Arabidopsis thaliana: one gene and its partners. The protein of the gene in region 1 interacts with the protein of each later gene in a pairwise test. Each region holds a gene or a part of one and is shown in the gene's direction. Other genes may lie near its edges.

Region 1 (3,756 bases):
AAAACATCTAAAACTATCAAAATGATTCATTTGTACTAAACTACTAATAGGCAGTACTGCTAATAGGTAACGAAAATACGAAGACTTTTTCTTACCGCCATGCAAAAAGTTGACAATGAAGGCGAAGTTGCAAAACCTCAATTGAAGAAAGTTGATTATATCAGAAAAGTCAACAACGGACAAATAATATTGGATATGAAGAAATCCAACCTAGTCCAACAGTAGAGAAACCATAAGTTTAGTCAAATTCCAAAGAAAGCTCCAACAACTAAAGAAGTTAAAAAAGGATTTTGACTATCTCTTCTCTCTACCTTCAAAGATATGTGAAAAACGACCCAAAGCCAAAGTTACACTCCTATGTCTAAAGAATTCGTTTGCCGAAAGTGATCCGCTTAATATGATCTAAAATTATTTACAATAGAGAGTGTTGAATTGATTTAATAGGATATTGCAAATGATGATGAAAATGAGGTGGATTAAATTGTGTTAAAAAACAATAGTTGGTTTTGATTTGCTTTTTTTTTTTGGTATCAGGAATTCAATCTCTGGATTTCATCGTCAATGTATTATGATCCTCAATTGAAAAATGGCAAAAGATTTTATTTAATACAATATTTTTGTGTTCTCTCTTCTAATTCATTTCATGGGTTTCATGTAGAGTCTGTTTCCAATTTATTTATTTGTGTGTTGTAATACTCTATGATTTTGATTTATTTTTAGTTTGTAACATATTGTTTCTATCTCATTTCCTCTTTAAGAGCTATGCCACCACCATTCTGGTTGATTTGTGAGTTAGCACATTAATCGCTAATGTACATCATATCAGAAACAACTCTTGACTCGATTTTTTTTACTTTCATTGTATGTTTAATGTAGTTTTTTCTTCAACATTGGGCCACAATTGGCCGGCCCATTAGCCAGACAAACAACTCTTGGATCGAATTTTTTTCCTTTCATTGTGTATTTCATGTAGTTTTTTTTCAACATTGGGCCACAATTGTCCGGCCCATTAGCCAAATCCCTACATTTGTATCGAGCGGGACTCAATCCCAAGTGTGATGGTGCATGTTTTCGGTGGTACATGTTTTCATGTAATTTTTGTTTTATTATTTTAAGAAGTTATCATCAATTAGAATTAATTGTATATATCTCATTTTCATTGTATAGCTAAGGACCCAATCTTTACAGAGTTCATCTTTTTTCTCTGTCTGATTAATCTTTTTTTTTTATTATGTCTAATTAATCTTAAAGTTGCTAGACAAATAGATTCATGTACAAGATTCACTCAAACTAAATATGAGCGAGAAAAAATAGTATATATATTGAAAACTAAATTTGGGAGATACATGGGCATTTTTTTCGATTCTTTAACTCGTGAATTTAGGTTGTTCTTTTGTCGTTTCAGTTGTTGTTTTTTTGTATCAATCACTCGTGAATTTAGTTTTTTTATGAGAGCATAATTTATTATAATTTGCAATAGAGTTGTAAAGTTTAAATTGCTATAACGCTGTTTTGTGGAGAGTTAAATAGGGTGTTGACTGTTGAGTCATAAGACCAATGTGTATGGTCTTAGAAAGAAAACCTTGTCATAATTATATAAGATAATAAGTTCTGTTATAGAGGTTATTAGACAAGTGATAGGTCTAACCAGTCCAAATCACAAAATCCAAAAGCTAAACATTGCTTTTCGAAAGAGAATGTATTTCGTAAATCTGATTTGCAACATTTTGGGAAGTTTAAATTTCGAATCCAATGATATAAGAATAATAAAACAAAACAAGGTATTACATGAACATGAGTGAGTCACTGTAAAAAGTAAAAAACAACAAAAAGCCTAACATACATATATATATATATTTATTAATTTATTGTACCTTTTCATGGTTTCTTTTTTCATGCCTGTAACTCTGAGAAGGACACAGACACATTTGTTTGTGTAAGTAATAAATAAGTGTGAAAACACAATCAGAGACAAAAGCCTAAAGACTCGAGCAAACTTTTTATTAATATTTTGTTTGTTGCTTTGCTTTGATTTGTTCAAATTTCAAAAACTTCTCTTTAACCCACCACTCCCTCCATTACCACCACAACTTCACATTCTCCGATATTCTCTCTCTCTCTATCAATCTCTCACTCTCAAACTTTCTACATACCTGAAGAAAAAAATAATCTACGAATTCGAGCCAAAAAGATCGAAACTTTTTAATCTATGGGTGCTTCAGGGAAATGGGTCAAGTCCATTATCGGTCTCAAGAAGCTAGAGAAGGATGAAATCGTAAGTTCATTATCTTTTTTTTTTGTTCTCTCGTTCAAAGGTTAAAGCTTTATCGAGAGATACTCTGTTTTCAGGAAAAGGGTAATGGGAAAAACAAGAAATGGAAGCTATGGAGGACTACTTCAGTAGATTCATGGAAGGGTTTTCGAGGAAAACATCGGTCTGATTCAGACGGTGTTGATTCTTCTACTGTTTACTCTGCTGCTGTTGCTACTGTTCTTAGAGCTCCTCCTAAAGATTTCAAAGCTGTTAGAGAAGAATGGGCTGCTATTAGAATCCAAACCGCTTTTCGTGGATTCTTGGTGAGTTTGCTAATTGGTTTTGATTAGAATTGAGAGGAATAGAACTTAGTTTAATTTGAGGATTTGTTGTTAATTAGGCGAGAAGAGCGTTGAGGGCATTGAAAGGGATAGTGAGGTTACAAGCTTTAGTGAGAGGAAGACAAGTTAGGAAACAAGCAGCTGTTACATTGAGATGCATGCAAGCTTTGGTGAGAGTACAAGCTCGTGTTAGAGCTCGTCGTGTGAGGATGACTGTTGAAGGACAAGCTGTTCAAAAGCTTTTAGATGAACATAGAACCAAATCTGATCTCTTGAAAGAAGTCGAGGTTCTTGTCTTTACCTTTTTAGCTCATTGGTTTGATGATTGTTTATTGTTTTGAGATTTGTTATGTTCTCAGGAAGGGTGGTGTGATAGGAAAGGTACTGTGGATGATATTAAGTCAAAGTTGCAGCAGAGACAAGAAGGTGCTTTTAAGAGGGAACGTGCTTTGGCTTATGCTCTTGCTCAAAAGGTAACTAACTTGTCCACATTCAACATCTTGTTTAAGTTCGTGTCTGAAGCTGAATCGGGAATCTTGTTTTGTGTAGCAATGGAGGTCAACTACTAGCTCAAACCTTAAGACGAATAGTTCGATTTCGTATCTTAAAAGTCAAGAGTTTGATAAGAATAGTTGGGGATGGAGTTGGTTGGAGCGTTGGATGGCTGCTAGGCCATGGGAGACTAGACTTATGGACACTGTTGATACCGCTGCCACGCCTCCTCCTCTGCCTCATAAACATTTGAAATCACCGGAAACTGCGGATGTTGTTCAAGTTAGAAGAAACAATGTGACCACTAGAGTATCTGCAAAACCTCCTCCTCATATGCTGTCTTCAAGTCCTGGTTATGAGTTTAACGAGAGCTCAGGTTCATCCTCGATTTGTACTTCAACTACGCCTGTTTCTGGAAAAACTGGACTTGTTTCAGATAACTCTAGCAGTCAAGCAAAAAAGCACAAGCCAAGTTACATGAGCTTGACTGAATCGACAAAGGCTAAGCGAAGAACTAACCGCGGTCTCAGGCAATCTATGGATGAGTTTCAGTTTATGAAGAACTCTGGAATGTTTACAGGGGAATTGAAGACTAGTCCTTCCTCAGATCCTTTTGTTAGTTTCTCCAAACCACTCGGTGTTCCTACTCGATTCGAGAAGCCGAGAGGT
Region 2 (3,756 bases), on another chromosome or scaffold:
TTAAAATCCCATTCTTGGATTTAAACCAGCATCCCTTGTTCTCAAGTGTCCCTAAGGATATGAGATTCTTTGACATGCCCGGAATATACATGACGTTAGTCAACAAGACTGTTGTTCCATCGTCATTCAAGATCCTCACACTTCCAATCCCTTTAACCTGTAAAGTAGTGTCATTTGCCATTGACACATTTCCAGATTCAGAAAATACCAAGTCCTCAAACCATTCTTTTCTTGAGCTCATATGAGAAGTACAACCTGTGTCACAAATCCATTCTTCAGAGCTTCCTTTACTTGCTCGAGCAGCAGCTTCTGAAACCATGAACACAGACCCACCAGAAACAATACTTTGCGCTGATGATTCTTCATATCTAACTGACTTCTTCCTTGACTTGTTCTTTTTCTCTTGGAAGCACTCTGTCTTGACATGTCCCTTTTGTCCACATCTCCAACATGGACCTTTCTTTTCTCTTGCCTCAGATCTGACCTTCTCTTTTCCCTTAGCTTGTTCTTCTCTGTAATCTGACCTTTCTCTTTCCCTTAAAGACAAACGCTTCTCTTCTTCCTCTGTTTGTCTTTCTATTTGAGCAACCTCAAGCTCTTTCTTGTATATTGCAGTCATTACTCTACCCAAAGTTAAGGGTTCCTCGCAATAATCTAAAGAGTACTTAAGCTGTTCAAGCTTTCTAGGGAGAGACAAAAGCAACATGAATGCTTTGTCTTCATCAGACACATAAACATCTAACTTTTCTAGATCTTCAACTATCCTGAAGAAATCTTCTATATTCTCTTCTACAGCCTTGTTTTCACTCATCTTAAACTCAAAGAGCTTCCTTTTAAGAGATATACGACTTGATAGTGGATCAGACAAGTAGAGTTTATCTAGAACACTTATCATACCTGCAGCAGTCTCCTCTGTTCTGATTCTTCTTAGGATATTGTCTGCAACACTAAGTATGATAACAGATCTGGCCTTGTTCTCCTTCTCTTCTCGTGAATGGTCTTTCTTGTGTTCTTCTCTTCTTCTTTCTGAGCTTGAAGACACGACCTTCACCCTTTCTGTCTCAACAGCTTCCTTCTTTTCTTCTTTCTCCTTTAGAGCATCTGAGATACCCATAACTTCAAGCTGAGCAAGAAGCTTTCTTTTCCACAGTGTGTAATCTCCTCTCCCGTCGAATCTTTCGAATCTAGGTTCTTGAGAGGTTTCCTCCTTAACCTGGAGCTCTGATACCATTTTGTGGAGATTTTGGGTGTTAAAGTAGCGACCTTTATCACCATAAACCCCTCTCTTTCTCTCCATTACACTCGTGTGAAGAAACTTAGAAAGAAAGACTTGAAGCAGAGTAGAAACTGAGAAATTGCAGAGAAAGTAAAGTGCAAGAGAGAGTTTTACGTGTTCGGGTCTCAGTGTGAAACCCTACTCACGCCGGGAAACTTATTGTCCCGGAATCCACTAGAATCAGTCCTTATATACAGTTGGCTCTTACTAGAGCTTGTACATACACAACTCATTAACTACATTCAACCAAACACGCCATTCCATCTCATCTACTCTCTGCATCTTTGATTCTTTGTCCCCTGTTTTTCATGTTTTGTTCGAACACTTCTACAAAGAACAAAACGACACAGACCTTTTAAAGGAAACAATGCTGCAGGCGTGCTTCCTCTTCAACGACTTGTACGAGATGGGCTTCTTGCGTATGGGCCTGAAGTTTTCTAACTTTGAATCAAACCTTCTGATTCTTTGAGAGTCTTCTCTTGCCTTCTCTTCTCATTCATGAAACTCGAAGACAAACTCTCACAGTCTATATTCGTTGTTTATGTTTTAAGTTTTAACTAAAAATGTTAAAAGCGTTCAGTCAAGGTTTAGGTTTGGTTTGGGCCTAGTCTTAAGATTTTTGTTTCATGAATATAAAAGAAAGAATAAACCAAAAGTAAAACCTACATTCAAAAAAAAAAAACGATGAAAAGTCCATACTTGTCGTGTACGATTAAACCCAATGACGTGTTCGTATTAAAATTTTAAACTGAACCACCAATTTTAAACCTTACTTGCGCTGCATCAATTTTATCAACACATCAATATTTCTTAACATTAGGAAATTAACTTATTAAACAGAAATTATTTTCTATATAATTCATGTATGACTAATCCCAAGATGCTCACTCTTTGGTCTTTAGTCTTTTACATGCTTTAATCTTTCCATCTTTGTCTCTATCTCGTGGATATGGAAGAAGACAAAATTCTTACGGAGACCCTTCTATCTGCGGCGGAAGAACCACCTGCTCTTCCTTTCTCATCCGTGGAAGATATTCCTCCGATCACCACCGTTGGTGGCTTCGTCAAGGAGTTCAACGTGGAGGTCAAAAAGCTATGGTACTTGGCAGGGCCAGCCATTTTCATGTCTATAACCCAATATTCTCTCGGCGCTGCTACTCAGGTCTTCGCCGGACACATCAGCACCATCGCTCTCGCAGCGGTCTCCGTTGAAAACTCGGTCATCGCTGGATTCTCATTTGGTGTCATGGTAAATTAATATCCCCTTGTTGACCTTTTTGGTTTGCGTTTATCATTCAAATGTGCTGAATTTAATACTATTAGTTTGGGAGATATACCTCTAAATCATTCAAAATGTTTTTTTTTTTTAAACCATTCAAAATGTTTTGAGCTAGTTCTAAAATATCATTTTCAATAATATAAATCAAAATGTTGCAAAAAAAGATATTTAAAAGATCAAAAATAAATATGATAGTAAATGTATAACACAAACAAAAAAAATGTAAGCACAAACGCCAAAAAAAAAGAACGAAATCTTGTGCGATTTTTCAATTTGTAGTAAGATTATAATAGTTTTTATTACCATATAAACCATATTTATAAGTAAGATATTCTAAGAAACTTTTTTTTTTTGAGTTGTAATAATAATTGTGAATGTGACCATTAATTAGCTTGGAATGGGAAGCGCGTTAGAAACGCTATGTGGACAAGCGTTTGGAGCAGGGAAATTGTCAATGCTTGGCGTTTACTTGCAACGATCATGGGTGATACTAAACGTGACCGCGGTTATTCTCTCGCTTCTTTACATCTTCGCCGCTCCAATCCTCGCGTTCATCGGTCAAACGCCGGCGATCTCTAGCGCCACGGGAATATTTTCCATCTACATGATCCCTCAGATCTTTGCTTACGCTGTTAATTACCCAACGGCTAAGTTCTTGCAATCACAAAGCAAAATCATGGTGATGGCTGCGATATCAGCGGTTGCACTTGTTCTACACGTGCTCCTCACGTGGTTTGTCATTGAGGGGCTCCAGTGGGGCACGGCGGGTCTAGCCGTCGTGCTCAACGCCTCGTGGTGGTTCATTGTCGTGGCGCAGCTTGTGTACATATTTAGTGGTACATGCGGTGAAGCTTGGTCTGGATTCTCATGGGAAGCTTTTCATAATTTGTGGAGTTTCGTCAGATTATCTTTGGCTTCTGCTGTTATGCTCTGGTTGGTCACAACCACACCCATACGACTCTATCGTTAATGTTATTATCATTGTTCAATTTGGTTAACTTTTTATCATATTATTGTTTATTTTTACTTTGGAAGTTTGGAGGTATGGTATCTTATGGCAGTCATATTATTTGCTGGATATTTGAAGAATGCTGAGATCTCCGTAGCTGCTCTCTCCATCTGGTAATTCTAGTCTATTAGTATTTTTTTTTTCAAATTAATAATGTTTATAAGATTTGTTGTTTGATTTGTTCAGTTTCTA
Region 3 (3,756 bases), on another chromosome or scaffold:
ATGTTTCGGATTTTTTTTCGGTACATGCTTTCTAATTCACCGGAATATTTTATTTCTCATTGACAATTGTGTTTTTAACTAAAATTAACACCAAAAAAAAAACAGTGTTTTAACTAAAGGATGTGGTTTGTTGTTTATGTTAACCACAACAATAAATTCTGAAGAGAAAAAGTTTGCAATAGAGACTGAACCAGGTTTACAATAAAATTCCTTAATGGAAGGGAAATAAATCAAGAAAACAAAACAAATATTGCATGGATAAGAAAAACACGACACTTGTCTATGCAACTTGTTTCTTTAGTTGCATGAGATCACTTTAATGTTAAAGTCCTCCCAAACAGTATTGGATTCTTCGTTATAAAAAGACCTCAGGGTGATTAGAGCCTTGTCCTTGTGAATTTGAATCATATACTCCAACATGTATACACGTACACACAAATACGTATTCATATATGGCACTGGAATAATCAATATATTCAATTCTGAGAATAGTAGAATAGCACTGGCCTAAAAAAAAAGCATTAGTTAAATTTCAGCATATTCTTGTATCCATGCCATGATAATGGTTACTTTGTTGTTTTATTGTCTATTATTTCTATTATATATGAACTTTCAATTTGAATTTTAGATATATTGGCAGTACAAATACAAAAATTACTTTAACCACTATAGCTCCTCCGAGCATTCGTCACTGATCAGTGAGTGTGTGTTTATATATGCGATATTAAATTAAATAAGTTTTTCTTCACACTGTGTGTGTGTGTGTGTTTGTGTGCGTGGTAACAATAAAGTTCTGCGTAGACGACACGTATCCAATATTAATGGAGTTCCGAAAGAAAGATCTTCTGGCAAAACCATCATATATAGAGACAACAGTTTATTTTATCTTTTAAACAAAAATACGATCACATTTTTTTTACCTAAATTGCTAATAAAAAGTACATAGAAAATGGTTTACAAATATCAGCCATTAACATATATAGTTCAATATTACCCGACAAACAAAAACATAGTTTATTTATGATTCTATCTCAAAAGAATTTAAGACGTCAAAAGAGGTAATTAGTAACATCATTTTATTGGAGATATTTTGCAATGAAAACTGCCATGAATAGAAAGAGGAGGAATCAGTAGGTCTAGATTAAGTGAATGTTCTACTTCATTTTTGTTTTAGTCAAAAAGATAGTTTCACTAAATTTATTTTAAAGCCATTAAGTGGAGGGCTTGATTCCTTCCATCACCTTTATCTTGCCCTCAACTTTTTTTTTTTGGATTTACTTGCATCCTTCTCCATTAAACAAACCAAACCCAAATATAGTGTGTATTTTATTTAATAATTATGACCAGATAAATGTGGTAGACTAAAAGTTTATTTTACGTGAAACAATCTATGTCATTCTTTAACTATCTAGAAGAATTTAGTGTTCATTAACATGTAAATGTGAACGAATAATATAATGTGAGTAATCGATATGCAATCAATCCTTAAACTTTGTTACCACTATACCTTGTAGAGAATAATAGAACAAAATCAATTCTCATATGTTAATTGGTATTGGAAACCCCATTTCAAAATCAACTTGCATATTAAGTAAAGGGAAAACAAACATGATTGATTAGTCTTTATTCCACCACTATATTACTAGCTTTATAAATTCTTGGAATTAATATCATCTTTAGTGCCCTAAAAACAAAGAAATAAAGCTAGTTTTCTCTAGAGGAGAAGAAAACAATGTTATTTCCTAAGAAGAGCATAAAGAAAACTACAACATGAAGTCATTTTCTAATAATAAAGAGGGCCCAAATTCTTCTTTCTTCTCACCCAATTGGACCCTTCCTCAATCCCTTCTCCTCTCCTCTCTTTAAATTCCGCTAATACCCTTCTCACTTTCACTCTTATATTTCATAAAAACCTTTTTTTATATCTCCTCTACCTCAAAGTTTGAGAGAAAGAAAGAGAGAGAATGGTGGGTTCTTGAAGCTTCTCACATTATTTTCTTCATCGTTCAAGAAATCAATATTTGATGATGTTTCCTTTTATAGAAATATATGTCTTTTTCTCAAAGTCTTGTTTTGTTCTTTGCCATATTATTACAGGAAGTGGAAGAAGAGGTCTCAAGATGGGAAGGCTACGCCGATTGGAGAAACAGAGCAGCCGTGAAAGGCCGTCACGGTGGCATGCTCGCCGCCTCTTTCGTCTTAGGTCAGTTTCAAAATTCCAAATTTACCCCTCGATTCTCTTAATGCATCTTTTTCTTTATCATCCACACATTTATATTAAGAACGATTCTCTAATGGATCATTGTGATTGATTCATATATATTTGTCTCTTATGAAGTGGTGGAGATATTAGAGAATCTAGCGTATTTGGCGAATGCGAGTAATCTTGTGCTATACCTAAGAGAATACATGCACATGTCTCCATCAAAATCGGCAAATGACGTCACCAATTTCATGGGCACAGCTTTTCTCCTAGCTCTCCTCGGTGGTTTCCTCTCCGACGCTTTCTTCTCCACTTTTCAAATCTTCCTCATCTCAGCTTCCATCGAGTTTTTGGTAAACCTCTCTTAATCATTCTTATAATCACTTCATTTTTTTACATTTTGTTAATCTTTAAAATTTCTAAACTTAACAAGGAACAACAAATCAAACTCCACTTATAAAAATATTCAGAAACTTTGTTATCCATTAGATTACTTTAGTTTTCTTTTCTCTATCGCTTAAGTTTTAAGTTACTACCGTTGACTTTTGTTTTTAATGGCTAAGCCACCACAATCATAAATCCGTTCACATTAAAATAGATCCCACATGTATATCTATACAATTATTAGCATAAAAGAAAATTATCACACATGAAAATATGGTTGTAGCAAAAAAAAATCCAACGAACCATGCGTGCATTAGGATGCTGATAAAAAGGACAAAAGCAAAGAGGAGCGTGACTTTGATACGGTACCGTATCCGTATCTATAAGCAATGCTTTGTTTTGATCCTAACACGACACATACGTGATAACATCTATAAAAAATCCGTATGTTAAGGTCGGGACCCAAACGTATTTTTATCAGTTTTAACTGTCACTGTCTCAGGGTTAAAAGAGGAAATTTAAAAACTCTTTCTTGGGTTTCAGTAACACAGCAAGCTTTTTATTTTATTTTGTTATCTTGTCTTTACGTATGATAGGGTATGAAACTATAATGTCCACTTATATAACATCTGCCACTCGTACCCTCGTGACTCTGCAACTTAATGTTACAAAAGACAAAACAAACTTGTAGTTCTAAAGTACAGTTGGGGCTCTTAATGCTTTGTGGGTAGCGTTTGGCCGGACGCAAACGCAAACGCTCACTCTTCTACTTCCCATTATGGATAGAGATATTGATGGTTCATGTATACCTATACACTATCATAACTTCATTAGAAAACTTATAACAGATTACAAGAAAATATATATAGCTGACTTAACTTATAATCTCCTTGTCACTTTTTATAGATTTGAGTCATTTACTTGTATGATATGAAGTATTTATATTCCATATACATTCATCTAGAATCAACATATATCAATATATGATTGGATAATGTATACTAGAGTCCAAAACTTTTAAAACCCTGGTGTTACGTCAGTGTAACCGAAGTTATTTCTTCAAGAAAAGGCAGTGGCCAATGAGGCGACCACACGAAAATTAGGCTTTGTCCATACCTCATTTAATAACGAACGACGTTTCATCGTTCATAACGGTTTCAATTATTTGT

The links.
Region 2: the proteins of IQD6 (region 1) and AT5G38030 interact in a protein complementation assay, tested with the Arabidopsis thaliana proteins (one large-scale study listed by BioGRID).
Region 3: the proteins of IQD6 (region 1) and NRT1:2 interact in a protein complementation assay, tested with the Arabidopsis thaliana proteins (one large-scale study listed by BioGRID).

The regions. Positions count from the first base shown.
Region 1 is NC_003071.7:11,143,436-11,147,191, reverse strand, and holds the start of IQD6 (IQ-domain 6), read left to right. Parts: upstream 1-2,088; 5' UTR 2,089-2,209; coding exon 2,210-2,275; intron 2,276-2,349; coding exon 2,350-2,577; intron 2,578-2,654; coding exon 2,655-2,882; intron 2,883-2,954; coding exon 2,955-3,068; intron 3,069-3,144; coding exon 3,145-3,756. UniProt on the Arabidopsis thaliana protein: May be involved in cooperative interactions with calmodulins or calmodulin-like proteins. Recruits calmodulin proteins to microtubules, thus being a potential scaffold in cellular signaling and trafficking.
Region 2 is NC_003076.8:15,173,772-15,177,527, reverse strand, and holds the start of AT5G38030 (MATE efflux family protein), read left to right. Parts: upstream 1-1,961; 5' UTR 1,962-2,225; coding exon 2,226-2,525; intron 2,526-2,946; coding exon 2,947-3,488; intron 3,489-3,590; coding exon 3,591-3,677; intron 3,678-3,756.
Region 3 is NC_003070.9:26,298,616-26,302,371, reverse strand, and holds the start of NRT1:2 (nitrate transporter 1:2), read left to right. Parts: upstream 1-1,687; 5' UTR 1,688-1,964; coding exon 1,965-1,967; intron 1,968-2,097; coding exon 2,098-2,203; intron 2,204-2,338; coding exon 2,339-2,556; intron 2,557-3,756. UniProt on the Arabidopsis thaliana protein: Low-affinity proton-dependent nitrate transporter. Involved in constitutive nitrate uptake. Not involved in histidine or dipeptides transport. Involved in (+)-abscisic acid (ABA) transport, but not in gibberellin, indole-3-acetic acid or jasmonic acid import.